Mus musculus: one gene and its partners. The protein of the gene in region 6 interacts with the protein of the main gene of each other region in a pairwise test. Links are inferred from orthologs where the notes say so. Each region holds a gene or a part of one and is shown on either strand. Other genes may lie near its edges.

Region 1 (3,500 bases), on a different chromosome or scaffold from region 6:
CCTCAACAGTGTCAGCCATTTGCTGACGAGCGTCCTGTGAACACGGCCTGGCTACACCAGCCTCATGCTGCAAAGAAAGCATTGCTCTGGGTGCGGCTCGCCAGCGCGTCCAGATAAATGTGCTCCTGCCCTGCCCTTGAGTGTGCAGAGGTCACAGGACTCCAACCACCTGAGCCCACTGAGGTGCCACCCAGGGCAGTCCTGACCCTCGCTTCCTCAGAAAGAGCAATTTGGTGGCACCAGTCTCTTGGGGTGCGGTGGGGTGGGGTGGGGTGCAAGTGAGCACATTAGGCCTGGGAGGAGATCAGAACGGACAGGAATTCTGACTATAATAACCCAGTCCACCTTCTGGGCAGGCCTCGCCTCTTATGAGGGCAGTGCCCAGTGATGGTCTTTCAAATGCTACTGTGTTTCTGGAGGGGCTTCACACCTGGGGGAGAAGGAAGAAGTGTTATGCTCGTAGGAATGTTCTAGAAACCTGCAAGGACAAAGTTAAACTGAACACTTCTCTAGCACCCTCTTGTCAGTCAGCAGCTGGTCACATCACTAGTGCAAATGGTCAGGGGTGTCGCACGTAACCAGCAGGGTCTAAAGAGAACACTGGTCAGGGGTGCAGCGTCCCGAGAGACTTTCAAGAATGTTCTCCCTGCTCTAGACACTCTGAAATAGGAAAAGAATCACCAAAATGAAAACAAAGTAAATGTAATTAAAAAAAAAAATCAACATACAAGAAAACACTTAAGGGGCTGGAGAGATGGCTCAGCGGTTAAGAGCACCGACGGTTCTTCCAAAGGTCCTGAGTTCAAATCCCAGCAACCACATGGTGGCTCACAACCAGCCATAATGACATCTGACGCCCTCTACTGGTGTGTTTAAAGACACCTACAATGTACTTACACATAAATAATAAATAAATCTTAAAAAACACTTAATAATTATCTTCCCTCTGTGTGTGTGTGTGTGAGGTATATATACATGTGTCAGTGTATGTGTGTATGCGTGTGTGTGTGTGTGTGTGTGTGTGTGTGTCTGCACGTGTGTAGGCCAGAGATTGATGCAGGTGTCCCTTCATATAGTTTTTGAGAAAGGGTCCCATCACTTCTTTTAGCCTGGCTAGCTGGCAAGCCCCCAAGATCTCATGGTCCCTAATGCTGGTATTATGTACACATACAACTCACTGAGTGCTCTGATGTGGGTGCTGGGAGTAGAACTCAGGTCTTCATGCCTGCAGGGAAAGCACTTTACAAACTGAACTATCTCCCAACCCATAAAATACTCTTCAAGAGTATGGCTCTCTGGGCTGAGAAGATGGCTCAGCAGTTAAGAGCCCTGGCTGCTTATTCCAGAAGTCCTGAGTTCAGGTCCTAGCAACCACGGCTTACAGCCACCTGTAATGCGATCTGATTCCCTCTTCTGGTGTGCATGAAGATAGAGCAGTCATAAGTAAATAAATAACTCTTTTAAAAAAGAAAGAAAGAGAGTATGGCTCTTTGCTGTCTGCGATAAACTGGCCCTAAGCCTGCCACAGTGCTCCAATCACCTACAGTCTCACCATGGGGGAGGGGACAAGTCTTGTTGCTTCTCACTATAGTTTGAGGTAGCACAGTGGTTTTAGGTTTGCAGAAAAACCATAAAGCAATAATCCTTCATCACTATTTATAGGGAGAAAACACTATTTCTGCAATAAAACAAAAACAAAAACAAAAACAGAAAGCAAAAAAAAAAAAAAAAAAAAACAAGAAAAGTTTAAAAGAATTCAAGAATCTGTTGATGCCAAAGAGGTTCAAACCAGTTAAATTTAATTCTACAATATCCACAGTGCCGGGTCTGTGAAGTTCACAGTGTAACACCTTAGGTGCAGGAGGGGACACCCCACGGGTTTCTAAAGCAACATAGTTCGTTAGCCAACCAGAGGATAGGGAGCCAGCCCCACACAGCCCTGCGCACCCCTCTGACCCCACAGTGTTCAGGCTTCCAACACCAGGATGGGGAGGGCCCTGCTTTAGGTACTTATTCCCCTCTGAGTTAAGGCCCAGCAGTAGCATACAAACCCAGGCAGAGCGGCCACTAAGTCCCCTGAGACACCTGACCTCTCTGTCCACTGGTGTCATTCCCATCTCACTTCCCACTGCAAAAGTAACAGTGCTCAGAAGGTTCCTACGGAGGGAGGGATGCTCGCACTGAGGAGCTTTAAGTGTTTCCCCGTATCTGAAGGCAGCGTACTCAGAGAACTACAAAATAGAAAAGTCATAACAATCAAAACCCGTATTTAAAAAGTCATAAGGGCATGTCACCTCAGCTCCCACGGGAGCAGACAGGACCCTCTATCCCAGGTCACGGTTTCCCAACAACCAGAGTCGTCCTTTCAAGGACTCCTTTCTAATTTCCCTGTTTTCCTCTTAGCAAAGGACAATGGGAGTCACGGTCCATCCTAGTGACTCCCGTGGATCCTTCAGGGCCTCTCTACTGCCACCCTCCACCCCTCAGAGGACACCACCCCACTTTACTTGCACCAGAAGGATGTCTGCCACCCGCAACATGAGGACTCTGTCACTGTCCCAGGCACCTTCATTCCAACCAAGCCCCGCCCAGCATGTGTGAGGACTCTGGGTGGGACCCTGCCACTAACCTGTGCCGGTTTTTATTCTTCCGTTTTTTGTGGCTGCTGTGGTGGCTTCCTGAGGAGGTGGAAGAGGCGGCTTTCTGAGGTTTCACTCCCTGGACGGAGCCGTCTAGGTCCTCGGGGTCCTCCTGCGCAGGCTCGTTTTCCTGATTGTGGAAGTCTGGAGAAGTATCGCTTTCCGTCCCACTTCCTGGTTCCCCTAGAGGAACGAAAACAGGTCCCAAAAGCCAGATCAGGACTCCTCAAGTCCCCACGGGCCATGGAACAAAGAAGACGGGGAACAGGCACTCAAAGTATCAAAGCTAGGAAACCCCTGAAATCCACGTGGTCTGCAGCAGTGCGGGGGACAAGCCTGACCACAACTCAGAGCACTAAGGGCCATTTCAATATGGAGCACACTGAAGAGAGGAAGGGTTACGCCTTGGCAGAACTGACAAACGGTCAGAGAATCCTGCCTTTCAGTGAAGAGTTGGTGGAGGATGAGCTGGAGAAATGACTCTGAGATTAAAAGCAGGCACTGCTCTTACAGAGGACCCGAGCCTAACTCCCAGAACTCATGTCATAAGGCTCACCCACTGGAACTGCAGCGGCAGGAGATCCGACACCTCTGGCCTCCTTGGGTACCTGCACCCACATGCACACGCACACACACACACACATACACACACACACACACCCCACACCCTGCCCTGCCCGACACATACAGACCATTTAAAAAAATAAATTTAAAAAGCAAAAAGAAGGTGGTACCCAGTGGGGAGCAGCGTCCAGTCCATCCGTTGATTACTGCCGTCTTGGATCTTTTTTTTTTTTGGAGGGAAGATAGAGATTGTCTCATGGGAACTTGGGCCGTGAACTTCCTAGGTCTCAGAGGATA
Region 2 (4,296 bases), on a different chromosome or scaffold from region 6:
AGAACACTACCAAGAATATAAAATTAATATCAAAATCAGTCAAAACTTTAGAGGGAGAAGCTTCCACCTGTACATTTGACTGAGTATAAGGGAATCACTATAAACTTTGCTAGACACAATTCAAGTGGAAACAAGTCAATTGTACTTATTTTGCAATAATAATTTATTAAAAATTATGTCATATTTTCTACAAAGTAAAGATGCATGTTTCATGAGCTCAAATACAAATTTAAAGAGCTGTAAGAATAAAAAACCAAGACATGTGCTGATGGATTACTTTCATATTCAATAATAAATGCAGTTATCTTAGTAATCTTATCGTCAAATCTTAACTTAGTGTAAGTTTACCTATGTCAGTATAGCCTATGTAAAATTTCATATTTCTTTATGTTTGCCAAATGTGGACTTAGATGCCCCTGGTCTTAGGCAGTAGGTTTCTGTATCCACTATTTATACAGTAGAGTGCTTAACATAGGAACCTGAGATCTCTTTGGTTCCATGGACAATTCATGTCTTGTTTTTTTATTTTTACAGTTCATTATTCTTGCCACAGTCAACTATAGAGCTCTTGGCAGATTTATGTTTGGGGAATAAGCAGGCAAACCTTAAACCAAAGCAAAGCATCACCCTTTCTAGAGAAAATAATTATAGGAAAGAAATCTTAATATTTGGATCATATTCTCATGTCAGTATGGAAGCTTTCAAAGGCAACTGGAGACACTTGATCTTTTATGGAAACCAAACAGTAAGGTGACAAATTAACTTAAAAATGGCCCCCAAATAATCCAATTATTCATTCAGCAAATTCCCCAGTAACATATGGATTCTATGAATTTTTATCCCATAATCCTTGGGACAGTAATCAGGCGTTCAAATTTTTCTATTAACACACTATTAACACTGACTACTCAGTCATGTATGTTCAGTAGAAACACATTAGTTGCATTTGAAGGAAAAATGCTTTTTAACAATTCAGTTTTACACTTTCTATCGAAAAGCGCTAATAATTCAATGATATTTAAGGTGAACTTAGACATATTACAATTTACATCTTAAAAGTCCCTTTAATTTGTTGCGAAAGGACACATTCCGCAGGGGCAACTTTATAAGTGTGGATGGCTTTCATCCTTAATCACGCATCTCAAAATACATATTACTAAAATAGCATTTAATTAATTTTTTAAAAAATCTTATATTTGACACTTGTTAAAGGACCCTTTACTGTTACAAAAACTTCATTTTCTCTACACATTTTTGGCAAGTGGCATAAGTTAAGTTTAATCATTTTTCCATTTGAACCTTTGAGATAAATTTATATAATTAAAAAACTCAGTATGCAAAATTTAGATATTTTATAATTCAAATAATTTATCAATGTAAATTATTTTGCAATTTCTAAGCATAATATTTGAGAAGATTTTTCTCATCTTGACATTAGAAATATAAATGAATAAATCTTTAAGTTCCAAATCCACGCCAAAAAGTTCTCTAACTTTTAAACTATTTAAAGATCTGAGATGTTACTACTGAAATATTAATAAGGAAAGTGCTTAAGACTTTGTAAGAATTTTTTTCCTAATTGCTTATCAAGCAACTGAGTTTAATTTTTTTTAACTTTTCGAAGTCCAGTAACACCAAACAGAATGTACAACTCAAGTAGTTTGCCAGTCAGAATAAACTTACTAAGGTTTTCCAACTAAGGATTTTAAAAATAATCCTCACAAATCAGGTAAATGTCCTATTCTCACTGGTGGTACCACTGCCCTTGACATAAATGTGTGCTGTGTCCATTTCAAGCACTATAACCAGTCCCCAAACAAATTAGGAAACATGTTTGACACAAAACTCTTCTAAAAGCAGGCAAACATACTTTTGTTCCTTATTTAAACATTGCCTCATTTACATCACGACTATCTAGTAAAGTGTAACCTAGTTTTTAAAATCCAGGTTTACTGTGACATTTTCTGTAAAGAGCAATTAGCTAAGCTACACGACAGTCGTAATGTAGTTAGAAGTGGCCACACATAACTCATCCAACAATTCACACTAAAATTTAGGTATACTACAAATGAAATTGTGGAAATCCTTATATATCCCTCCCCGTTTAAAAGAGTAAGAGATGCAATAAATGGCAAGAGAAACAAAAAACAGAAAAACAAACAAATAAACAAAAAACCCCAGAGTAAATCACCCCCCAAGGAGTGGGGATGGCGCTAGGAAAAGTTTCAGGCCATATTAACCAGTGAGTTTCTGCGATAAATACACTGGAGGCAAAAGGACCGTGATCGCCAGGAACCTCCTTCACCCTCATCACCTTTTAGGCATCTTTTGGGCAAGCTTTCGTCGCCAGGACCCCAGTTTTCTCCAGACCTTGGCCATCAAGCGTGCCGCTGGCATCTCCCGGTCCCAGGAGCTGGGCCCAGGGTCTTCCGGGTGTCACAGCCCGGCCACGGCACACCAGCGGCACACACCGTGCCAGCGGGGCTCCGCGACCCCCGCCTCCGAGAGAACTAAGGGGACAAGGACCGGGATGCTCTCCCTCCCCACCCACCCCTTCCCCGCCGCACCCCCACTTACCTGTCTTGTCAGGGTGTGCAAGGAGCGAAAGACTTCGCAGAGGACCTCGCGGGTGAGGAGGGGGCTGGAGCATTGCTCCAGGCTCCTCTCGCTGCCGCTTGAGGAACTAAGCTCCGCAGCAGCAGCCATGACACCTTCAAAGCAGCCCCCCAACCACCGCGAACAGCGCTCACCCCACCCCTCCCTCGCGGACTTCGTCGCACTGAGATGACGTAAAACTAGAGCGTCTCACTTAGAGCTTGAGGATAGGCCCCACCCTCTGTGTGTGACAGACACACAGGAAGACCAATCAAGAGCAAGGATAGCTGTGCTCCGAGGGAACTTGTGTATGTGAAGCTGGACCTTCTGTCTGGTGGTGTTTTCTGTGGTCCACCTTGGTTTAGAAACCTACTTGGCTCTTAGATGCTCCCTGTGAATGTTGGCAGAGCCTTACTCTTAAGTGTTAGAATTTGAGTCCCGCTATTAAAATTTAAAATGTTAACAGTCGAGTTGTCTTGGAAAAAGATTGCGGGTTAGTGATGGAGCAGTGCTTTACAATTTTCTAATTACTAGAAACTTGACCCAGGATGATCGTTACTGGATAGAACATTTTCATCTCTATAAGACTGTTTGATATGAGGAATTTAAAAAGAACACAAGGGCTACATTATGCTTCTTTTTCCTACCATAGAACGACATTGATGACTACACCTGCAAAATAGTTTATGTCAAAGTTCTGACATGCAACGGGTTCTCAGTGCAATCACTGGACACTTGACCTTAAAATTGTTTCAATATAAATCCAATAGAAATATAAACCAGCCGGGCAGTGGTGGCGCACGCCTTTAATCCTAGCACTTGGGAGGCAGAGGCAGGCGGATTTCGAGGCCAGCCTTGTCTACAGAGTGAGTTCCAGGACAGCCAGGGCTACACAGAGAAACCCTGCCTCAAAACAAAACAACAAGAAAGAAAAGGAAGAAAGAAAGAAAGAAAGAAAGAAAGAAAGAAAGAAAGAAAGAAAGAAAGAAAGAAAGAAGGAAAGAAAGAAAGAAAAGACCAATTTATTCCATGTAACCACACTCTTTAAAATTAGGATATAAAACTAAATCGACTCTTGTTGGGTATTATTAGATAGCTTTATTTTAGCGAAAAAAGTTATAATTTTATAATGTAGAGTTCTATTAATTTTTTTTTCCTTTGAGACAGGGTTTCTCTGTATAACCCTGGCTGTCCTGGAACTCACTCTGTAGACCAAGCTGGCCTCAAACTCAGAAATCTGCCTGCCTCTGCCTCCCGGATGCTGGGATTAAAGGCATGCTCCACCATGCCTGGCTCTATTAAATTTTTAAAACAAGCTTAAAAGATAAAGGACAAAAGAATTAAAACTCTGGCGGCAGTGGCTCAGGCCTTTAATCCCAAAGCACTAGGGAGGTAGAGGCAGGTAAATCCCTTATGAGGCCAGCCTGGTCTACAAAGTGAGTTCCAGGACAGCAAGGGCTACACAAAGAAACCAAAGCTCGAAAAGCAAGCAGGCAAGCAAGCAAGCAAACAAACGATTTAAAACTCTTCTTCATGATAGTTGAGTGCATTTAACATACAGGAAGTGGAAGTATGAAGTTAATGGGTAGTCTATCCTTAGAGAGCAGACTGAATAAAGGAAGAAATAAGGAATTAAGGGACACTAGGATAAGGAGAGTAAAAATGAAAGAACTCCTTTTACCTGTCTAAGGAGCCTTTTAC
Region 3 (4,225 bases), on a different chromosome or scaffold from region 6:
GTAACCCTGTCTCACCATACACCACTCCACTCCAGGGCTTAGGAGGCCTGTTCTGAGAATCATGTCCCTTCTCCTCCCACAAATCACTTTCTTAGGATACTACCAGAAAAGTTTTATATACAAACTCCTGGGGGCCGATGAGATGGCTCAGCGGGTAAGAGCACTGACTGCTCTCCCAAAGGTCCTGAGTTCAAATCCCAGCAACCACATGGTGGCTCATAACCACTTGTAAGGAGATCTGACCCCCTCTTCTGGTGCATCTGAAGTCAGCTACAGTGTACTTATGTATAATAATAAATAAATCTTTGGACCAGAGTATGCAGGGACTGAGCGAGCAGGGCTGACCAGAGCGAGCAGGGTTGACCTGAATGAGCAGAGGGTCCTAAAAGTTCAATTCCCAACAACCACATGAAGGCTCACAACCATCTGTACAGCTACAATGTACTCACATACATAAAATAAATCAATAAATCATTTTTAGAAAGCCCCCTTTTCTGCAATAGAATGCACCCTAAGTAATTTACGTTTCATTAGCCAGTATTTACTCAAAATAATTGCTTTTTATTTTACTATGAAGTTTTACATTTTAGCTAATACATAAAATATAAAAAGTCTACATATAAAGGGGCACTATTTGATGTTTCAATTCATATATACATGGTATCATGTTTAAATCAGGTTAAACATACCTGTGTCCTCAAACATTCACTATAATCAAATTTTAACATTAGTTTTAGCCCAACATAATTAAAAGGAAACAGCGAATGGCAGTTTTATTATGCATTTGAATGTCAAAGAAAATGCTTTAACTCATTTTGTTGTTGTTTTCTACTGTCTTTAACATGGTAGACAATTGTGAGGTAAACCAGAACACCCATCCAACCAAGACAATGACTCTGTCTTGAATTTCCACTGAAGGGCTCAGAGCCCTGACCCTGTCCCGGAAGCGTCTGGCTCCCAGCCCCCTCGTCCTTCTTCCCAACAGGCTAGGAGGGAATGTGCCCCTCCCTCACCTTTATAGTTGTGCCCGTGGCCATTCGGATTGTTGCATTTCCCAAACACTCTTAAGTTCTCTTCATCGCTCAGAGATGGGCTGACAGGAGAAAGATAGAGGTCAGCCCGAAGTTCAGACGTCCAGAAAACTCTACAATTTCATGTCACTGTAGATGATCAACTGGTTAGATCGCTTGCATATCATGATCCCCGTTTCTATCAAGAACCAACACTCCACTCTCTAATTAAACTAGATTACCACATAAATCATCCAAGACCTTCATCTCAACCCACTTAGTCCACAGTAAGATGTCAACAACTCTGCCCATAGTCAGCACTGTCTCTCCTGCCCTCTCTCTGTCGAGGTCTCCTCTATCCCTGGCTGGCCTCAAACTCACTAGGTAACTTAGCACGACTTCCAACTTCTGACCCTCTTGCCTCCACCTCCCAAGTCCTGAGATCTATGTAAGCAGGCACTGTGTAGTCAAGCACTCTACCTACTGTGCTACATCCCGGCTCCACCTTCCAATTCAACAAGCCCTGAGTATTAGCTATGGGATAAGAGATGAAGCAAGGAGCAGTGATAAGCACGAAGACATACATATCCTCCAGCGGCTTAAAAACGTCATTCCTCCTGACAAATAATGACCTCAGGCTCTTCTTTTCACAATCTTGCCCTCCTCTGCCTCAGCAGTTGCCTAGTGGAAACCTTACCAATGTGTTCCAGGACACTCAAGTCAGGTGAAACTTTAAACTTACTACACATGGCTGTCATTCCAGACAGAAAACAATTAGCTTAATGAATCTGTATCAGTCAACTTATCTGTGCATCCTTACTAACCTTGTGTGTAAGCTTCCTATTATAAAAATCCCTTTTGAGAGGCCGGAAGGATGGCTTAGCAGTTAAGAGTGCTTACTGCTACTGCAGAAGACCAGGGTTCAGGTCCCAGCCCACCCACGTGACAGCTCAGAAGCCTGTAACTCCAGTTTCAAGGAATCCTCTTTTGGCTTCCACAGACTCTTTCGTGCAAGCTGTGCACACAGCACACAAGCACACACAAACACAACTTTTTATTTAAATTCTTTAAACTCTTTCTTATCCCCTTCACTCTCTCCTACTGCGCACTTAGAGCAGTACAGCTCACAAGACTTTTGAAGAAAATTCTCACTGTACCCAACTTGACCACACGGAGGGGTGGGGGTAGAGGGATGACAAGTGTCAGCTGTTCCCTATGACAACCCTGTTGTTAGAAAAGGCCGTTCTCTGATGATGACATGCAGATCCAAAGAGCAAACCTTCAAGTGAGTAACGAAGCTCCCTTTGAAACCAACTCTCAGGTGCGGTCTTGTTTCTCTGGGATTCAATTCCCGACTGTGTTGCTCCTTTGGAAAGTATCAAGGCTGGTTTTACTTTTTTGGTAAAAGGGGGATGAAAACTACCTTGGGTTGCACCCGGTAGCCCATGCTCCTGTCATTGTACCTCTGGATGTGGGCAACCTCTGGAGGGAAACTCTCCAGAGTGGATCCTCCGGGATCGGAGCTATACCGCCCTCTCCCGGGTGAGTGCCGGTAGTGCAGCTCCGCACCTTCACCATTTCCTCTTCGGCCCGCCCCAGCTCGGCTCTAACCCACGCGCGTGGCCACGCCCCCCAGGGACATAGCGGGACAAGACCCGCGCGTGCGGTGACACACGTGGGCACACCCCACCTGTGCAGCCGGTGGCTCGCGCTGAAGGACACGAGGCGCGACAGTCGCGCGCGGCGACGAAGGTCACCCGCCGCGCTCATGGTCTTCGGACCGAAGACTCACAAGCTAGCGGTTCCGGCTTCCGGGACCGAGGCCAGTCCCGCCCCCGCGGCTGCGCAGTGCAAACTCGGCCCTCCCTGCCGAAAGCACTCCTGGGAGTGGTTTCGACTCGCGGCACCCTTCGGCCGACTTGGAGGCAAACACTAGCGCCCCCTGCTGTTCAGTCTTCGCTAGGCAGTCAGAAATACCTGGGGCCAGTGGGTGGGTGAGAAGCCAGAGGCCTGGATTTTTAAATTGCCAGGTTAGTTTGTGTCTTCTTCTTTCGCTTCATTTTTGACAGTCCTGGGTTTGACAAATCCAATGTCTGGGTGCCCTTATCAGATGTTCTCCAGCCCGGTACCACATTGAAAGTGTCCTTAACCAAAAAGAAACCCCAGCTAAGGATGGCAATGCACTGTCATTAGAGTTACCCTGCAGGCTGAAGCTGGGGCATTGATTTTAGGAGTCCCGATCTGTTCTAGGCAACATAGTAAAACACTAGCTTAAGTGGAAAATAAAGGAAAATTTTGACATCTCAATATCCAAGTGAGAGAATGTCATACAAAGAGACTTCCTCAAACCAGAGACAGCCAGAAAACAGATTCACCGTTCAGAGCCCTCAGAAGGAATACGCTGTTCCTGGTTTTAGATTCCTGGCTTTCAGAGTTTTTGAAATGGAAAGGTATTCCAGTGTAATCCCAACCGCTCTTGTGCAACATTTGCTGGTTCTGTGTTTAGATATTTGTCTCAGAAGGTTAGCTTCTATTAAATGTTGTCAGTCAGAGATGGCATATATCAGTGATCCCAGCACTGAGGCTGAAGCAGGAGGGTGACAAGCTCAAGGTCCGTCTCAAAAGGATAAAATCCTATACATAATTCAAATGGACACCTTTGGCAAGGCAGCCCCCACATCACCCATCCATTAATTAAATTTTAAAAACTAAATTAAAAAAAATGTTTACCCAAGTATCTTTGGCTGTCCTGGAACTTGGTCTGTAGACCAGACTGGCTTGGAACTCACCTGCCTCTGCCCCTCTGCCTCACAAATGCTCGGATTAAGGGCCTGCATTACCACCACAGTTAAGACCTTAATCCCAGATGCTTTAAGTATTAGACACATGTACTTCAGAACAACAAAATGGTCCCTGTTATCTGAAAATTCAGTTTAATGGGGGCAGTCCAACAAATAATATGTCAAGTGAAAAATTACCATTTCTGTGTCAGAGAGTAAAAGAAAGCTTCCAAGAGCAAATTAGTCTGAGATGGGTTTTAAGGAGTCCAACAGATGGGTAAATAGAAAATCCCAAGAGGAAAGAGTTTAAGCAAAGGAAATGTGGAAACGTAGCTTGCTTAATGCACAGTGACAAATTCTTGGCTACCTTGGGGTGCATGCAAAACGGAGGAGAGTGTATTGGAAATATTGACTGAAGACCAAGTAGTGGAAGAA
Region 4 (4,094 bases), on a different chromosome or scaffold from region 6:
CCAATCCTCCTGCTTTTAACTCCCAAGTGCTGTTTTATGAGATTCTAGAAATCAGATTTAAGGCTTTGTACATGCTATATAAGTACACTACCAACAGAGCTACAAACTTTGGATTTAGTTTATGTTATCTTCCTTCACAGGGTCTCAACTTTCCAGCCGGGGGATGGTCATGCACTTAATATCCTCTTCTCCCACATGCGAGGATTACGGATGTGTGCCACTATACCTGGGTAGAACATGTACTTTTTTGGTTACGTTTCTGAGTCAGGGTCTCATTATGTAGTGCTGGCTGGCCTGAAATTCACTATGTAGATTAGGCTAACCTTGGAAATGTAGTGAACTTCCTGCTTCTGCTGGGATTACAAGTATGCACCACTACGCCAGTTGCTTAGAGCATGTACTTTGTGACTCCAGGGACATAGACACATGTACACTCATCTATACACCAGAACCATCCTGCTAGGGTGTAAGTAGTCCTCCTCCTTGGACCACATCCCAGACTGGTGACATCAGAATCTCTGGAAGATATTTTTTTAACAGCTCAAAGAATTCTATTCTGTTCCCAAACTGAGAATCATACCTCTGAACCCTGCTGAGTGTTCTTTGTTCCTGTGGACTGAATCACGTGTCAGGGCTCTCCTTTCCTATATCTACCTTTGTCCCACTTTGGGCTTCATTTTCCTGCAATCCAGTTTTCTTGTTTCTCCTCTCTCTGCTTCCTTTAACCACTGTGAACTTGAGAGGTCCTAAAACCCCATACCTTCACAGCAACAGTGATGTCCCTTCAGCCCAGGACTTAGACATCTTTTAATGCCACCCACCCATAAGTCTGCTTATCCCAGTTGATGATGCTTTGGGTGCATAGCCCTGGCTGATGGGGCATTTGTCACCTTAACAGGGAAGTCCTGTTGAGAGTACAAATGGTGAAACAAGGTAGATGAAGCAATACAGGAGGACAGATATGTCCTCACCATTGCAACAGCCATATCCTAGGTCTACCTCTTTAGAGACGTCTTAAGACCCAGAGAAAGCCATAAAATCCCCACTAAGGTGCTGTGACTGTCCTGAGTTTGTCCTAAGCTTGCCTCTTCAGAGACAAAGCTTGTCAGGACCCCAAAGTGTTAAAACTAAGGGGGACAATAGGGAATCAAGAGGCTAGTAGGAGCTAGGAAACTTGTGCTTTATAGATGTGCTTAGGTCTAATGACCTGACTTTGGGGACAGTAGTGGACAGGCAGGAACTCAAGGAGGGGACAGAAAGGCTATCTCCGCCTCCTTCCTCCTCTGCCCTCCCCAGCCCAACAGCTCCGACTTGGTGTGTCAGCCCGTGGAGCAGAAACCACACTTAACTTCCTCAAGGCAGAAGCCTAAGCTCAGAGCTCATTCACCCTGTGGTTCATCATCCCCTGAAGCCATGGTGAGTCCTCAAGCCCCCATTGGAAGTTCATTCAGGTAACAAGGGTCCCAAGTAGAAACTGGGGAACTGGTAAATATGCCCTCATGGGTAACCTAGCAGAACAGAGCTAGAACAGTCTTGGGGATGAGATGGCACAGGAAAAGATAAGAAACAACCAAGGCATAATAGCTTGAGCTCTTGTGGACCAGCTTTGTATCTGTGACTGCAAGGCAGTGTGGTGCTGGTTGGGTCTGCCTGGAATGATATACCCTCAATCCAGGTCAGCAGCTGGGATATAAGCAGAGGTTTCCTGTGAAGTGATTAAATGGGTCACGCACCTGCTACACCAGTCCCCATCTCCAGTCCGTTACCCAAGCTGTGCTCTGCTAAACCCTTCCTTATCTACCCTTGTGGTCATCAACTCACTTAGACTGGGGCTTCAACAAAGAAATGTCTGACCCCAGGCAAGAATTGCTTCCTTCCCAGAGATCCTTCTGAGTCCATCTCTAGATAGATTTACAAGGTTCTGTCCTCTCTGTCCTCCAATCTTTTTTACCCTTGGTGAAGATAGGCTGGGGATATCTACCAGCACCTATGGCAAAGAGCAGGTCAGACTTGAGAGCACCAGAAATGTTCTAAACATATCATATAGTGCCTGTACATTTGGGGAGCCTCCCTTCTGGTCCTCATGAGACATGTCAGGGACTATGACACCTAATACCCACATCTTAGATAGATGTATGTAGAGCTTGTTAACTTAGTTAGAATGGCTAGCCAACAAGCCCTAGAGGGCCTCCTGGCCTAAGCTCTCCAGAGCTAACTAGGATGACAGGTACTGCTCCTGACTTTGTTATGTATGAGTACTGAAGCTAGAACTCAGGCTTGCATGACAAGTACTTTACCTACTGAGAAATCTCTCTAGTCCCCCCAACTAAATTTTAACAATTTATAGTCAAAATGGGTATGGTGGTATACACCTGTAATGCCAGCACTCAGATGGCTGAAGCAGTAGAACTGTTGAATCCCAGCCTGGGCTACATAGTGAGAAACTGACTTAAAATAAACAAAAAACAAAAAAAGGAAAGGAAAGGAAAAAGGAAAAAGGGAAAAGGGAAAGGGAAAGGAAAGAAAAAGAGAGGGGGGCGAGGAGAGGAAGAGAGAAGAGGAGAGGAGAGAAGAGAGAAGAGAAAAAGAAAAGCAAGCAAGCAAGCTAAACTAATGGTGGCACACACCTGTAATCTCAGCACATGGGAGGCAGAGGCAGAAGGTTATCCTCAACTATAAAGCAAGTTTGAGGCCAGCCCAGGATATATGAGACCCTGCTTCAAAAAACAAATTAAAAAAAAGGAGGAGGAAGAGGAGGAGGAGAGGACGATGACAAAAAACCCTCATCACTGGGAAGATATAGTTCATTGCTAGAGCTTGTTTAGCAAGGTGCTAAGTTCCATCCCTAACACCACAAAAATAAAAATCCTCAAAACAACCCTAATATAAGAACTAATATAAAAAACTTCATAGGTAATGGGAGACAAAGAGAGTAGAAAATGTTGGTGACTGTGGGCAACTGGGAAGAGAAAACTGATTTAAAATGGGGTTATCTCCGAGGTCACCCTTAAGGAGCATTATCATAAAGACACAGAGGAGGAAGAGGAGAGACCCATGCATTGAGTGGTATGCATTACAGACAGGACAGAGGCGGGGTGGGGGGACCACTGCTGAGTCATTCAGGGACTGTTTGCTTTCCTCAGAGATGAACTCGCTGAGAGATTGGGAGCAGACACTTTATAGGCCTCCTCTAGGGCAGCAGACCACGGAGGAGGAGCCCATTACAGTGATCTGGACTGTGGAGGGCAGTTCCTCTACTTGGGGTGACAGTGAGAAGTAGTTGAATTCCGGATGTATTTTGAAATCAGGAAAAAAAAAAAAAAAAGGACTGGGGAGAACCGGTGATCAGGCAGAGGGCAAAGAGAGGTCAAGGGGGAGCAGTGGCACAAAGCACAAAGGTTGAAGATATTGTTGATCAGAAGCGTGGGCCATGGGCTAGTAGAAAGGAATAAGTAGTTAGGTCCTGTTAGAGGTTAGACACAGCTTAGGTGGAGGAGTCTGGAGGGCGTGGGTTCCAGGAACCTGGGGACAGGAGTAGTTCTTACCCAAAAAGAGAAGCTGAGATTGGGGAAGAACCAAAGTTAGAATGAGAACCTAAGGGAAGAGGAGGGTGATGGGTTTGTGTGCCTGTGACCAACTGTAACCGTTTCTCCATCTGCCGCCTTGTGATGAGAGCCTTCCTGAATGACCCATGTCTTTTAGGGGAGCAATCAGGACTTCCGAAACCTCCAAGCTAAGTTCCAAACCTCTCAGCCAGAACTTGGAGAACTGTTCAGAAAAACCCCAAAGCCTGAGTTAAACAAAGTCCTGAAGAAATTTCCACAGACTGAGTTAAGTGAGCAGCCCAAGAAGTCCTCACAGTCTGAGCTCAGTGCAGTGTCTTTGAAACCACTGCAGCTGCAGTTTGCAGACCTCCCCAGGAAGCCCCCACAGCCTGGAGTTCTTAAAAAGTCACCACAGCCTGAGTTCCCTCATCTAGCCAACAAGCCTGTACAGGCTGAATTCCCAAGGAAGCCTCTACATCCAGAGTTCACAGGTCTCAAAAAGCCTTCCCAGGCTGAGTTCACAGATCTCAAGAAGCCCCCACAGCCCCA
Region 5 (3,500 bases), on a different chromosome or scaffold from region 6:
AGGGAGCCGAGCTCCAGTGAAGGGTGAGCTGGGGCCAGGGACTCAGGCTCCCTGCTGACCCGGTCCACTCTGCACTCCACTCCCAGTGGCCTCTGCACCACTCCCACTGGAGTATGAGACAGAGAAGGGACCCCAACCATCAGTTGCTCACACTGTAGGACAAGGACACAACTCTAGCAGGCACTTTGCTGCTCTTGTATGGTTTGACTCTGATTTGCTGAGTCAGATAAAGCAGCCCAACAGCTAATCCTTGTTAAACCCGCTGCCCCTGTCCACACAAAGTGACCAGAAGGGACCGGTCATCACCTTGTCTTCTTGGCTGGCCTCTCTGGTGTCTGGGAGCGGGAGGAAGCTGGACTGGAGAAGGGAGAAGATGTGGGACCACTCCTCTTCCACAGCTGCAAGTCAAGCAGAGAGACAATCTGAAACTACTACTGACAATATGGCTATGTAGGCAGATATTCTGACCTGGCCAGGCAGGAAGGCACACACCTTTAATCCCAGCACTAAGGAGGCAGAGGTGGATAGATTTCTGTGAGTTCAAGGCCAGCCTGCTCTACATAGTGAGCTCCAGAACAGCCAGGGTTACTGAGAGACTGTCTCAAAAAACTAAAAGAAAAAAAAAAATCAAGAAACACAGCAAAACTAAACCTTTCTGAGAGACTGGAGAGATGGCTCAGTGGTTAAGAAACACTTGCTGCTCTTGAAGAAGACCCATGTTTGGTTCCCAGCATCCACACCAGACTGCTCACAAATACTGTAACCCTGTTCCTAGGATGATGGATGCTTTCTGGCCTCACACAGGCTCAAATAAATAAAAATATCTTTCTTTTCTTTTTTTAAGACCATATCTTACTGCATAGCCCTGGCTGCAATTTACTATGTAGGCCAGGCTGGTCTTGTTAGAGTATTCCACCACATACTGCAAAATAATAAATCTTAAAAAAAGAAATAAAAGGACTGGAGAGATGGCTCAGCAGTTAAGAGCACTGGCTGCTCTTCCAGAGGTCCTGAGTTCAATTCCCAGCAACCACATGGTGGCTCACAACCATCTATAATGGGATCAGATGCCCTTTTCTGGGGTGTCTGACAGCTGCAGTGTACTCATATACATAAAAATAATAAATATCTTAAAAAAGAAATAAAGAGGTAATTCTTGTATTCATTACATATTCTAACAAAAATCATCTATAGTAAAAAGTACAGCCTCTATTTTTACAGATTCTGATATTCCATGAATATGAGTATTAGATACAAACTGGGCATGGTGGTGCAAGCTGAACACCTAGTGCTTGGAGGCTGAGGCAGGAGGATCACTACTAGTTAAAACCCAGCCTGAGCTGCATGCACAATAGCCAGGGATACATGAGACCTTGTCTCAAAAGGCAAAAGCAAACACCAAGGGCGACTGATCTACCTGCAGGAGCCTGTGCACCTCCTAGTGTCAATACCAATACTGGAGCCCAAGTGTGCCTGACAGTGGAGCTGCCTGGCTTCCCCACCTATGGGCTCTAACGAACTCTAAACAAGAATGACATCTACTTCATGAATCAAAGCTTACACTAAATCCTACTTGCCTATAAATCTCCTTTATACACCATTGCATACACTAGCAAGCGTTTGCTGAAAGGACCCTGATATAGCTGTCTCTTGTGAGTCTAGGCCGGGGCCTAGCAAACACATAAGTGGATGCTCACAGTCAGCTATTGGATGGATCACAGGGCCCCCAATGGAGGAGCTAGAGAAAGTACCCAAGGAGCTAAAGAGATCTGCAACCCTGCAGGTGCAACAACATTATGAACTAACCAGTACCCCGGAGCTCTTGTCTCTAGCTACATATATATCAAAAGATGGCCTAGTTGGTCATTACTGGAAAGAGAGGCCCATTGGACACGCAAACTTTATATGCCCCAGTACAGAGGAACGCCAGGGCCAAAAAGTGGGATTGGGTGGGTAGGGGAGGGGGGGGGGAATGGGGGACTTTTGGGCTAGCATTGGAAATGTAATTGAGGAAAATACGTAATAAAAAAAAAAAAAGAAAGTTTAAAATAAAGAAATAAATCTCCTTTACATTCCAAAGGGAACAAAACCTTTCTAAATCAGTACCATTTACTGCACTGGTCCATCTGCAGGTTGCTCCATCTGGACCAGGTTTGCTTTCTGTTCAGTCCCACTGATCTCGTTAATTTGCTTTGTATTCCAGTTAGCCTAGAGACAGGTTCAGTGCAAAGCAACAGAGGGTGAGCTGCATCCTCTGCTCCCGGCCCTGAGACATACCTGTGAGATGCCACGGGTGGAGCTGTAGGAGCTGGTGATGGCATTGCGGCTAGAACTGGGGATGCCTCCTGTGCACGCACTAGCCAGGGAGCTCACAGAGGAGGTGCGAGACCGTTTGTTCAAGTGGTCATCTGAGCTCTGGGAAGCCAGACTTCTCTTCAGGGAGCCAGGCCTAAGAGAAAGGAAGAAGTGTACATGCGCTACTGCAGGCGTATTCTGCTATTTCCACCATGGTGCCTCACCTTTCTGAATAAACCTGAAAGACCACCACAATGTTCCTCAAGGCCACTGTCAGCAGATGACATGGCTGCCTATGTCTGACAAAGTGACTGGGTAAAAGCACAGCACGGGAAACACAACAGGAAGGGTTACACCTTGACTGTGGTGTCATGGGGACAAAAACGTAATGTCTGTCAATGATCCCTCAATAAAGCTGCTAAGAGAAAAATCATTAAGCCTCTAACTGAAAGAGAAATCTCCCATAATCCTTTCTGTCAATGTGTGTTACCTAGCCCTACTACAGTATGGTCCTCTTACCATTTCCCAGGCAAGTGCATCAACCACAAACCAGTTCGCTGACAACTGCAGCAGAGGCAGCCAATGTTCCCCTCCTTCCACTAGCACACCATCATCTTGGCTCGCTCCCAGATGCCTGTGCCTCCTCTAGGCTGGAGCCTCCAAAGCCAGCCCCTGTCAGGCTTTCCTACCTCAGCAGTCCACACTGTGTATGCATGTCTCCCACGGTGCAACACAGTGAGCTGAGTGCAAGGCTTGACAGAGCCTTTTTACCACACTGGAACTTATGCACCTTCTATGCAAACTTCCTCTCATACACTCCATATCAACACTTCCTGCCCTGCAGAAGCCTGTGGTCCATTTGTGAAGGGTCAACTGCACCATGTTAGTGAAGCAGAGTGAGACAGAGCAAGCACGAGACACTGGCTGACTGCTTTAGTTAGTGGTTTACTTAAAGCACTGCTTACGGCCCATATCTAAGCATCACTTCACTTACTACTTGGAACAGAATACCTGGAAAATTACCAGTTTGTTGCTCTTAACAACCTGACCACAAGAGCTTACACCTGTCATCTATAATACACCTTTAAAACAAGCTGACTGCTCATACGCATCTGTAAAATCGCACTTGCTTATTCGTCCCACCTCATAGTTTAGATGAATAGAAGATGAGAATATGAACGGGCCCAGGACCAATCAAGATCTTT
Region 6 (4,043 bases):
TTGGATACCCATATGTGTAACAGAATTCATGTCCCAGCCCAACCATGTCATACAGTTAATTGGAACTGAGCACTCATCTGTCCCAGCTGTGCATGGCTCCTGAGCTTCCTTAAACCAAATGCAAATATCTTATCTTGATCTCATACTCAATTTAAGAACCACTTTTCAAACTAAGAGTAGTTGTGGATGCTTTTAATCCCAGCACTCAACAAAGGCAGACCTATCCCACAGAGTTTGAGTTCAGGGCAGCCACGGCTACATAGAGAAATCCTGTACCCAGAAATCGAACGGGGGTGGGTGTGTGTGTAGGTGTGTGTGTGTGTATGTATGTATATACACACACACACCTACACACAGCTTTTTTGGAATTTTTAACATTTTGATGTTAGAAGGATACAGATGAAGACTAACATATCGAGGAAAAGAGAGCATAATAAAGAGTACTTTTTGGGTTTGTTTGGGTTGTTTTAGACTGGATTCCATTCCCCATGCTGGTTTTGAACTTCAACAATCCTACTTTAGCCTTCTAAGTACTAGGGTTAGAGTATGTACCACCATACCCAGCCTGAGGAGACTGTTTTAACAAAGGTAATACAAATGTGGGTGAAATAGATATTAAAACATTAATGTGTCCTCTCAGAAGCCAAAAGAATTAAAGACTTTTGCTACAGAAAACAGAAATGTTAGAGACACTGTTCTGGTCTGAAGAAAAAGTACCAAGAGTTAGGAAAGTGACAGAATCAGCTAGGAGCCTTCTTCAGCTATACACAGACTAGACAGGTAGACATCATCAAGGATACACAGGAATACAGAAATACCAAGCTAAAAAGACCGAGACTTAGTTGAGAAGCTGCATTAAAGCTAATAGGTATGTGCACCCATAGGCACTGGGTAAAGAACTTGATCAGAAAAGGGAAAAAAATGGCCTGGCCTTTATAATGGATAACTAGCATATCAGTTGAAGTGAGGGTAGGAACCATCTACAGGGGTAGGGCAAACCTAAGTCTTTTTTCAGCTACAAAAAAGATACAATTTCATAGTAGAGTCAGAGAAAGTTATTTCCAAGGGCATAAGAAAGTAGAAGTTCTACTAGGGTAGGGGGACAGACAACCTGAGGAAACCTGAAGAAAAAGGGGCTCTTCTCACCCATCTCATGCTATGGAAATTCCTCTTTCTCTCCAGGATGAAGAGTAAGAGAGGGACCAAACGTGTCCGGGACAATTCCACTCATAAAAGTCAAAAGATGTTCAGAACCCCACTGATCAGAAGAAGAAAATATCTGGGGCGTGGGATCCAGAATAGACTCAGGACAGATACAGAAGATGGGGTGGGTGGTGGATAGAAAGAAGGAAAAAACAAAAGTCTGGTCTGGCATGGTGGCTCAACCAGTAACGCCAGAGCTGTAATCCTAGGCTGAGGAAGAGTTCAAGTGCAGCCAGGGAGGGGATCTTGTCCCAACCACACCCCTTAAAAAAGTTCACAGGAATCAAATCTTAGGCAAAGAAAAAGCTGATTAAAGAAGCAATTCTGAAAGATACTTTTTTTCTTTCCAGAAGGATTGTCAACAAGCAGAAATCTGTTAGAATAAGAACTTGTTGAGATGGCCTTTGAGAGACAGTGAAGCTTAAACTTACCAAGAAGATAGAGGAATGACCTAAATATATCTAGAGTCAAAGAGATAAGCGTGAATCCATCCCTCATAGGTGATTTTGGAATATAGGTGTGGTGGGTGACAAACTTGTCCAACAAATCCACTTTATGGCTGGCTGATAAAAACCTGAGGCCAAAGATGCTAATGCTAAATAACACAGATGGGTTTTGACCATTTCTTGTCAGCCTGGGAACAGGAATTTAAGACCAAAAGTTGAGCAAATGGTCTAGAGCCAGTAGGCAGAAGGCTCCCTGAAGACCTAATGTGGGACAGTGGACCTTCCCAAGGGGGTCATGTAGGAAAAGAATGCGAATCCTCCATGTGCTTGGGCTGCAGGGGTGATGTGATTAAAAGCTGAAGTATCGCCTACACTAAAAAAAAAAAAAAAAAAAAAAAAAAAAAAAAAAAAAAAAAACAAGAAAAGTCGATTAGAAGCTAGGAAAAGGGCTTTCTCCAAAGGGACCCGGGGCTCCCATCCCCGCACAGGAATGACCTGATGGCCATGTTTTCAGCTGATAAAAGCAGGTGTAACAGCGAGCTCAAAATAAAAGCACGAGGGTTAACTCCCACGATCGCCACGGGAGGGTTTCGAGTGGGAACGTGGGTCGAAGGTTCTAAGGGTCAAGACCAAGCTCCAGAAACTCGATCCCGCTCCACTCTTCCCTGCCTCGGCTGGGGGAGGGGGCTAAGGAGGGTGGCCCGGGTCGACGCGCCGTCTCACCTTGTAGAAGGCCCCGTTGGAGCCCCGCACCTCGACGGGCAGTCCCGGCTCCACATCCCCCCCAGAGGCCAGGCCGCCCATGGCGCCGCCACCACCTCCGACTGGCCCGGCAGCAGCTGAAACAGAGCCCTGAGTGCGGGCCGGGCCGGGTCCCCGGCGTCTCCCTGGAGGAGGAGCCGGAGGGGGAGCCGCGGGGGGCGGGAGCCGGGCCGGCCCCACGGCGGCCCTGCTACAGCCGACGAGCAGGGGGCCGGGGCCGGGCCGCTCCCCGTCCGCCGCCGCCGCCGCTGCCTTGGTCTCCGCCACCGTGAGGGAAACGGCCGCCGCCGCCGCCGCCGCCTTCGTCACCTCAGCTTCCGCCCGCCGGCGCCCCCGCTGCTGCCTCGGTCCCGGGACCCGCCGCTGCCGCTCCACGGCCTCCACCTCCCCCTGCTGCCGCCGCCTACTGCGCAGGCGCACAGGGCACCCGCCCGCCGCGCGCGGAGCCGGAGGGCCAAGGCGCAGGCGTCTAGGCTAGCGACCCAGCTCCCGCTCGCCAGCGCGTCAGGGCTTCCACATTCTCTTGCACTCTCTCACGCCCCCTCCTGGTCGCCTCTCTGCGCTTGCGCAGAACGAGGCGAACGCTCTCTGTACCACTCCAACCTTCCACTGTCCCTGTCCCTTCCTTTCCCCGCCCCACAACACTGGAAGCAAACCAATCAAAGGGAGAGGGGGGCCGCGCTCGCTGCATCGGATTGGACTTCCGCCTCCACAAAGTGAGCCCCATGGAGCCTGGGCAATTTAGGGATGGGCATGCGCCCGAATGACTGCTTGGTCACTTTCACCACCTTTGTCTTTCTTGGTGCGCACACTCCAAAAAGGGGGGGGGGGGGGGAACCAAAAGGCAAAAACTGCCCAGTGCGCAGGCGCTGGGCTTTGGTGTCCATGCGCATGTGTTGACTCTCTGCATCCATAGGAGAATCAAGAGTCACTGTTGTTGGCTTAAGTAGACTTTTTTTTTTTTTTTTTTTTTTTTTTTTTTTAAGTTTTGTGAGACAGGGTCTCTTGTGTCCTAGGCTGACCATGAACTAACTAGGTAGTGGGGGAATGACCTTGAATAGGTCCTCCAACCTCCACCTCCCAAGTGCAAAAATTACAGCCATGTCATTACCATGCTTGCCCTAAGTTGACTAGTATTCTAGTAAATTTAGTGCCGTATGAAAAACAAAATGCCACATAACTTGATGCATAAATTCTGAGGGGATTCAATACAGGAAAAACTGTCATGGAGTAACAAAAGAGAGAGAGAGAGATGGCTCGAATACGAAGCTTAACGGGAATTGTATTCCTAGACCACAAAATGGAAGGAGATATCCTCCTGCAAGTTGTCTCCTGAACATCATACATATAACATCACTCGTGGTCACCCACACGTATAACAGATTTTTTTTTTTTTTTTGTAAAAATAAGGGGTGTGAGGTGGAGAGATGGCTCAGTGGTTAAGAGCACTGACTACTCTTCCAGAGGTATTGAGTTAAATTCCCAGCAACCCCATGGTGGCTCACAATCATCTATAATGGGAACTGGTACCCTATTCTGGTGTATTTGAAAACAGCAATAGTGTACTCATATACATTAAATAAATACTTAACAAAATAAAATAGGATCAGTGTTCAAACTACAGGTTGTGTC
Region 7 (3,354 bases), on a different chromosome or scaffold from region 6:
GGAAACACTGTCAGATCTATAGCTCTTTATGAAACACAGAATTTGGATTCCCCAAAACATCGGCTCCTACAGAAGCGAATCTGGCCCATTGTTCGGATATACACTAGCAAACCAATCAGCCCATCACACTCACCCACTCCTTAACTATGATTACAAACTAGAGACTCAATTTCTTAAAATGGTGGCAGGATGGTGACTGCAGGTGTGGCAAATGTCTTACCAGAGAGGCACCTACCAATCCTAGCTAAGCAGTGTTTACTCCATCCTTCCCTGGAATGGCTTTATCCCACGTACGACTGCCCTACTGCCCAAAGACCTCAGGAAAGAGACCTGGCGAGCACCTTTCTTCTACCTCTAATCTCAACCTTTTGAAAACAAAAAAACCAGGGTTAAAGCATGGGCAAGGTCTCCTCAACACTGTAAAAACAAACCCCAACAAAGCACAAATACATCCATCAACTTAGATAATGACTTAGAATGTATAGACCACACAGCGAGAATATATTGTTATACACAAGTATTTTAATTTTCAATGTATCAACTCAGTTCAAGCATTATCTACTGATTAACAACAACAAAAAATGCTATTACTCTTTTTAAAAAGTTTACTTTTTAAAATTGTGTGTGTTGGGTGGGGGAATGTAATAGTATTTGAAAGCAGGTGCATGAGGAAGCCATGGGGTCAGATCCCCTGATTTAAAGGGTATTTATTGTGAAACAGTCTACAGAGATGCTGGGAAGCAAATTCAGGTCGTCTGCAAGAGAGCCACACTGGTTCTTCATAGTGGTTCAGACAGCAGACACATTGTTCCAGTTCCATAGTTACATATTTACCCAACAGTGACTATACAGAGCGTGAGAATAAATTTAGTAGTGTCATGCCAATTTTACTAGCTAGAAAGATTCCCTCCACGGCAAGTTGAGTCTCAATACACAGCTCAGGGTGGCCCTGAACTTAAGAGGTCCTGCTGCTGCCTCAGCCTCTGGAGTGCTAAGGTTACAGGGACATATCACTTTGTAGAGCTAGAAATATTAGTAATATCCACTGACAATGTGCCAACTCATAAACACTGAGTAACATTTGTTCATTAGTAACTAAATTGTTTTCTCTTATGTGAAATCATTTTGCTTGACTTTTTTCTTTAAATCCAAACTAGGACTACGTAACTTTTCTCCTAAAAATTAAATTGCTTCTTTACAAATTGCATTGTCTGACCTTCTTATCAGCCTGCTTTAAGGATATCCACGTGTTTAATATGCTCGCTCGAAGTTTGGCCCACACCAAATGATTGTTTAACCCAAATATCTGAGCAGCAAACTGAGCTGATCCTTCTGGAGAAAGTATAGTTGAACAGCCAATACCTATTGGATCAGAAAAGAAAAAGACAGAAAAATGAGTTGGCAGCTTAAAAATTAAAAAAGATGATAATAAACCCAAATCTTATTTCTTAGAGATGCGTACTTAAGCATCTAAGTATAAAATAATTTAAAAACATAAGATCTGATTTAAAATAGTAGGCTGTAGTTAAAATATATAGTCAGACATTGAGATTGTACCTTGAAATTTTGGGCACACACAGCACTAAAAATTTTCAAGGTCTTACCACTGGGCAGTCGAAGAGATGACCACACATCCTGAGCGCCCCAGTCTGGTGTGATCGGGGGACAGCTGATAACCGGATATGCAGTATTGCCAGACAGCACTGGGCCTAGACCATTGCTTCTGCCCGCCACAGAGACAAATACAGTAGGTATGCCATCCCCTAAGGAAAGTATAAGATGGTCAGGTCCTTTATAACAAAACAGTGCGGGGCAGGTGAGACTGCAGTGGATAAGGGGTGTTTGCTGTCAAACCTGGTGACCTGTGTGACCTGTGGAACCCATACGGTAGGAGAGAATCAACTCTTGCAATTGGTACATGCATCTGTACACACATACAATAAAAACAAAACAAGCTAGGCAGAACAGGCCTGATGATCTTTGAGATCTGTTATATAAGAAATGTCATGAGGTCAGTGAGGAAATGGCTGGTTCATAGCTCCCTTCTGCTATTACTGCTTAGATTCAGTAAAAAAAAAAAAAAAAAAAAAAAAAAAAAAGAATTTCACCAACTAAACAGCTACCCTCATGTTGAGTTGTCCTTAAGTGGTGCTGGTAGACTCATTTAATAGTAATTAGAGATTTTGTGGATACTTCCTAAATTATAGTCTCTAGGAGCTGGGATTTCTGCAGTATAGCACCCGCAGTCCAAGTGCTTAGCATGCTTGAGGCTCCAGGCTCAATAAACTGCAGTATCAAACACCAACACCAAACGTGCATATACACACTTCAAATTCTCTAACAGCCTTGACATACAGAGGGCCTTACTCTGTAGCCCAGGCTCACTTTGAATTTACAATAGTCCTCCTGTTTTACTTTCCCAAACTGTGATACCCACTTCTGGTTCTATGTGGTAGTGGGTATTGAGTCCTGGGTTTCTTACATGCTAAATAAGCATTTTACCAACTGAGTTACACTCTATCTTCAGTCCGCCTAAAATTATATATTTTTTTTATTTTTTACTGGCAAAGAATCCAAACATTCATTAGCTTATTAAAAGGATCTGAAGTTTCAAGAGAATCAAACGTCATTTTTTCTTGTTTAGAACCGTTTTTTTTTGTTTTTTGTTTTTTTTGTGAACAAGTTCCAGTCGTTTAGATCAATGATATCCTATCATTTATTTGATGTGCTATCTACTGAAACTAAAGCTTGCTTATATGCTTCTAAGAAATCTGACCAGATACTAGAGAGGCTCTGCTGCTTCAGCCTCCTGCAGCTGAGTGAGGGCCTTCTTCTCCGTCGGAGCACACGAGAAACAATGCTAAGGAGTACTGCTTGTTAGACAAGGAGACCACCCCTCCTCACAGGTCTAGTCTGTTTTCTAAGGTTTTACATGTATGGGTGCTTTGCCTCCATGCTGTGTCTATGCACATGTGTGCAGTGAGCCACAGATGGCTGTATATGTTATGTCACTAAGCCATGTTTAAAAAGATTATTTTAAAAGATTATATGTGTGCCCACATGATTTTATGCATGCAGGTGACCATGAGGCCACAAGATGTCTGATCTCCTGAACCTGCAGCTCCAGGCAGTTGTGCGATGCCTGGTGTGGCATCCAGCTGAGGGCGCTCTCCAGCTTCTCTATCCCTGCATTTAAGTGTCCCCCTTGTCCCTTCATAGGCTTCTACAGTGTCCCTTCTGAAGATAAGTGTAAGAAATGTATAGCATGAAACATAGAAATAAATACGGGGAAAGCTCATTTAAGCATTATTGTTCAAAAATATGTTATTTGAAAATCTTTTACCCAAATCAGAA

The links.
Region 1: the proteins of Fxr2 (region 6) and Meaf6 interact in binary tests that used the Homo sapiens proteins (3 or more experiments, as listed by UniProt). The two-hybrid records come from large-scale screens. The link is inferred for Mus musculus from reciprocal best matches to the Homo sapiens genes FXR2 and MEAF6.
Region 2: the proteins of Fxr2 (region 6) and Mbip interact in binary tests that used the Homo sapiens proteins (3 or more experiments, as listed by UniProt). The two-hybrid records come from large-scale screens. The link is inferred for Mus musculus from reciprocal best matches to the Homo sapiens genes FXR2 and MBIP.
Region 3: the proteins of Fxr2 (region 6) and Pts interact in binary tests that used the Homo sapiens proteins (3 or more experiments, as listed by UniProt). The two-hybrid records come from large-scale screens. The link is inferred for Mus musculus from reciprocal best matches to the Homo sapiens genes FXR2 and PTS.
Region 4: the proteins of Fxr2 (region 6) and Pram1 interact in binary tests that used the Homo sapiens proteins (3 or more experiments, as listed by UniProt). The two-hybrid records come from large-scale screens. The link is inferred for Mus musculus from reciprocal best matches to the Homo sapiens genes FXR2 and PRAM1.
Region 5: the proteins of Fxr2 (region 6) and Pom121 interact in binary tests that used the Homo sapiens proteins (3 or more experiments, as listed by UniProt). The two-hybrid records come from large-scale screens. The link is inferred for Mus musculus from reciprocal best matches to the Homo sapiens genes FXR2 and POM121.
Region 7: the proteins of Fxr2 (region 6) and Paics interact in binary tests that used the Homo sapiens proteins (3 or more experiments, as listed by UniProt). The link is inferred for Mus musculus from reciprocal best matches to the Homo sapiens genes FXR2 and PAICS.

Annotation. Positions count from the first base shown.
Region 1 is NC_000070.6:125,102,161-125,105,660, reverse strand, and holds part of Meaf6 (chromatin modification-related protein MEAF6), read right to left. Parts: intron 2,823-3,500; coding exon 2,630-2,822; intron 2,232-2,629; exon of another isoform or gene 1-2,231.
Region 2 is NC_000078.6:56,343,095-56,347,390, forward strand, and holds the start of Mbip (MAP3K12-binding inhibitory protein 1), read right to left. Parts: upstream 2,801-4,296; 5' UTR 2,707-2,800; coding exon 2,578-2,706; intron 1-2,577. UniProt on the Homo sapiens protein: Inhibits the MAP3K12 activity to induce the activation of the JNK/SAPK pathway. Component of the ATAC complex, a complex with histone acetyltransferase activity on histones H3 and H4.
Region 3 is NC_000075.6:50,525,857-50,530,081, forward strand, and holds the start of Pts (6-pyruvoyl tetrahydrobiopterin synthase), read right to left. Parts: upstream 2,801-4,225; 5' UTR 2,781-2,800; coding exon 2,701-2,780; exon of another isoform or gene 2,474-2,700; intron 2,377-2,473; exon of another isoform or gene 2,290-2,376; intron 1,161-2,289; exon of another isoform or gene 1,094-1,160; coding exon 1,014-1,093; intron 1-1,013. UniProt on the Homo sapiens protein: Involved in the biosynthesis of tetrahydrobiopterin, an essential cofactor of aromatic amino acid hydroxylases. Catalyzes the transformation of 7,8-dihydroneopterin triphosphate into 6-pyruvoyl tetrahydropterin.
Region 4 is NC_000083.6:33,636,762-33,640,855, forward strand, and holds the start of Pram1 (PML-RARA-regulated adapter molecule 1), read left to right. Parts: upstream 1-1,294; 5' UTR 1,295-1,413; coding exon 1,414-1,416; exon of another isoform or gene 1,417-1,451; intron 1,452-3,702; coding exon 3,703-4,094. UniProt on the Homo sapiens protein: May be involved in myeloid differentiation. May be involved in integrin signaling in neutrophils. Binds to PtdIns(4)P.
Region 5 is NC_000071.6:135,384,547-135,388,046, forward strand, and holds part of Pom121 (nuclear envelope pore membrane protein POM 121), read right to left. Parts: intron 2,450-3,500; coding exon 2,278-2,449; intron 399-2,277; coding exon 307-398; intron 1-306. UniProt on the Homo sapiens protein: Essential component of the nuclear pore complex (NPC). The repeat-containing domain may be involved in anchoring components of the pore complex to the pore membrane. When overexpressed in cells induces the formation of cytoplasmic annulate lamellae (AL).
Region 6 is NC_000077.6:69,631,728-69,635,770, reverse strand, and holds the start of Fxr2 (fragile X mental retardation syndrome-related protein 2), read right to left. Parts: upstream 2,801-4,043; 5' UTR 2,454-2,800; coding exon 2,373-2,453; intron 372-2,372; exon of another isoform or gene 252-371; intron 1-251. UniProt on the Homo sapiens protein: mRNA-binding protein that acts as a regulator of mRNAs translation and/or stability, and which is required for adult hippocampal neurogenesis. Specifically binds to AU-rich elements (AREs) in the 3'-UTR of target mRNAs.
Region 7 is NC_000071.6:76,964,656-76,968,009, reverse strand, and holds the end of Paics (multifunctional protein ADE2), read right to left. Parts: intron 1,764-3,354; coding exon 1,605-1,763; intron 1,363-1,604; coding exon 1,196-1,362; 3' UTR 501-1,195; downstream 1-500. UniProt on the Homo sapiens protein: Bifunctional phosphoribosylaminoimidazole carboxylase and phosphoribosylaminoimidazole succinocarboxamide synthetase catalyzing two reactions of the de novo purine biosynthetic pathway.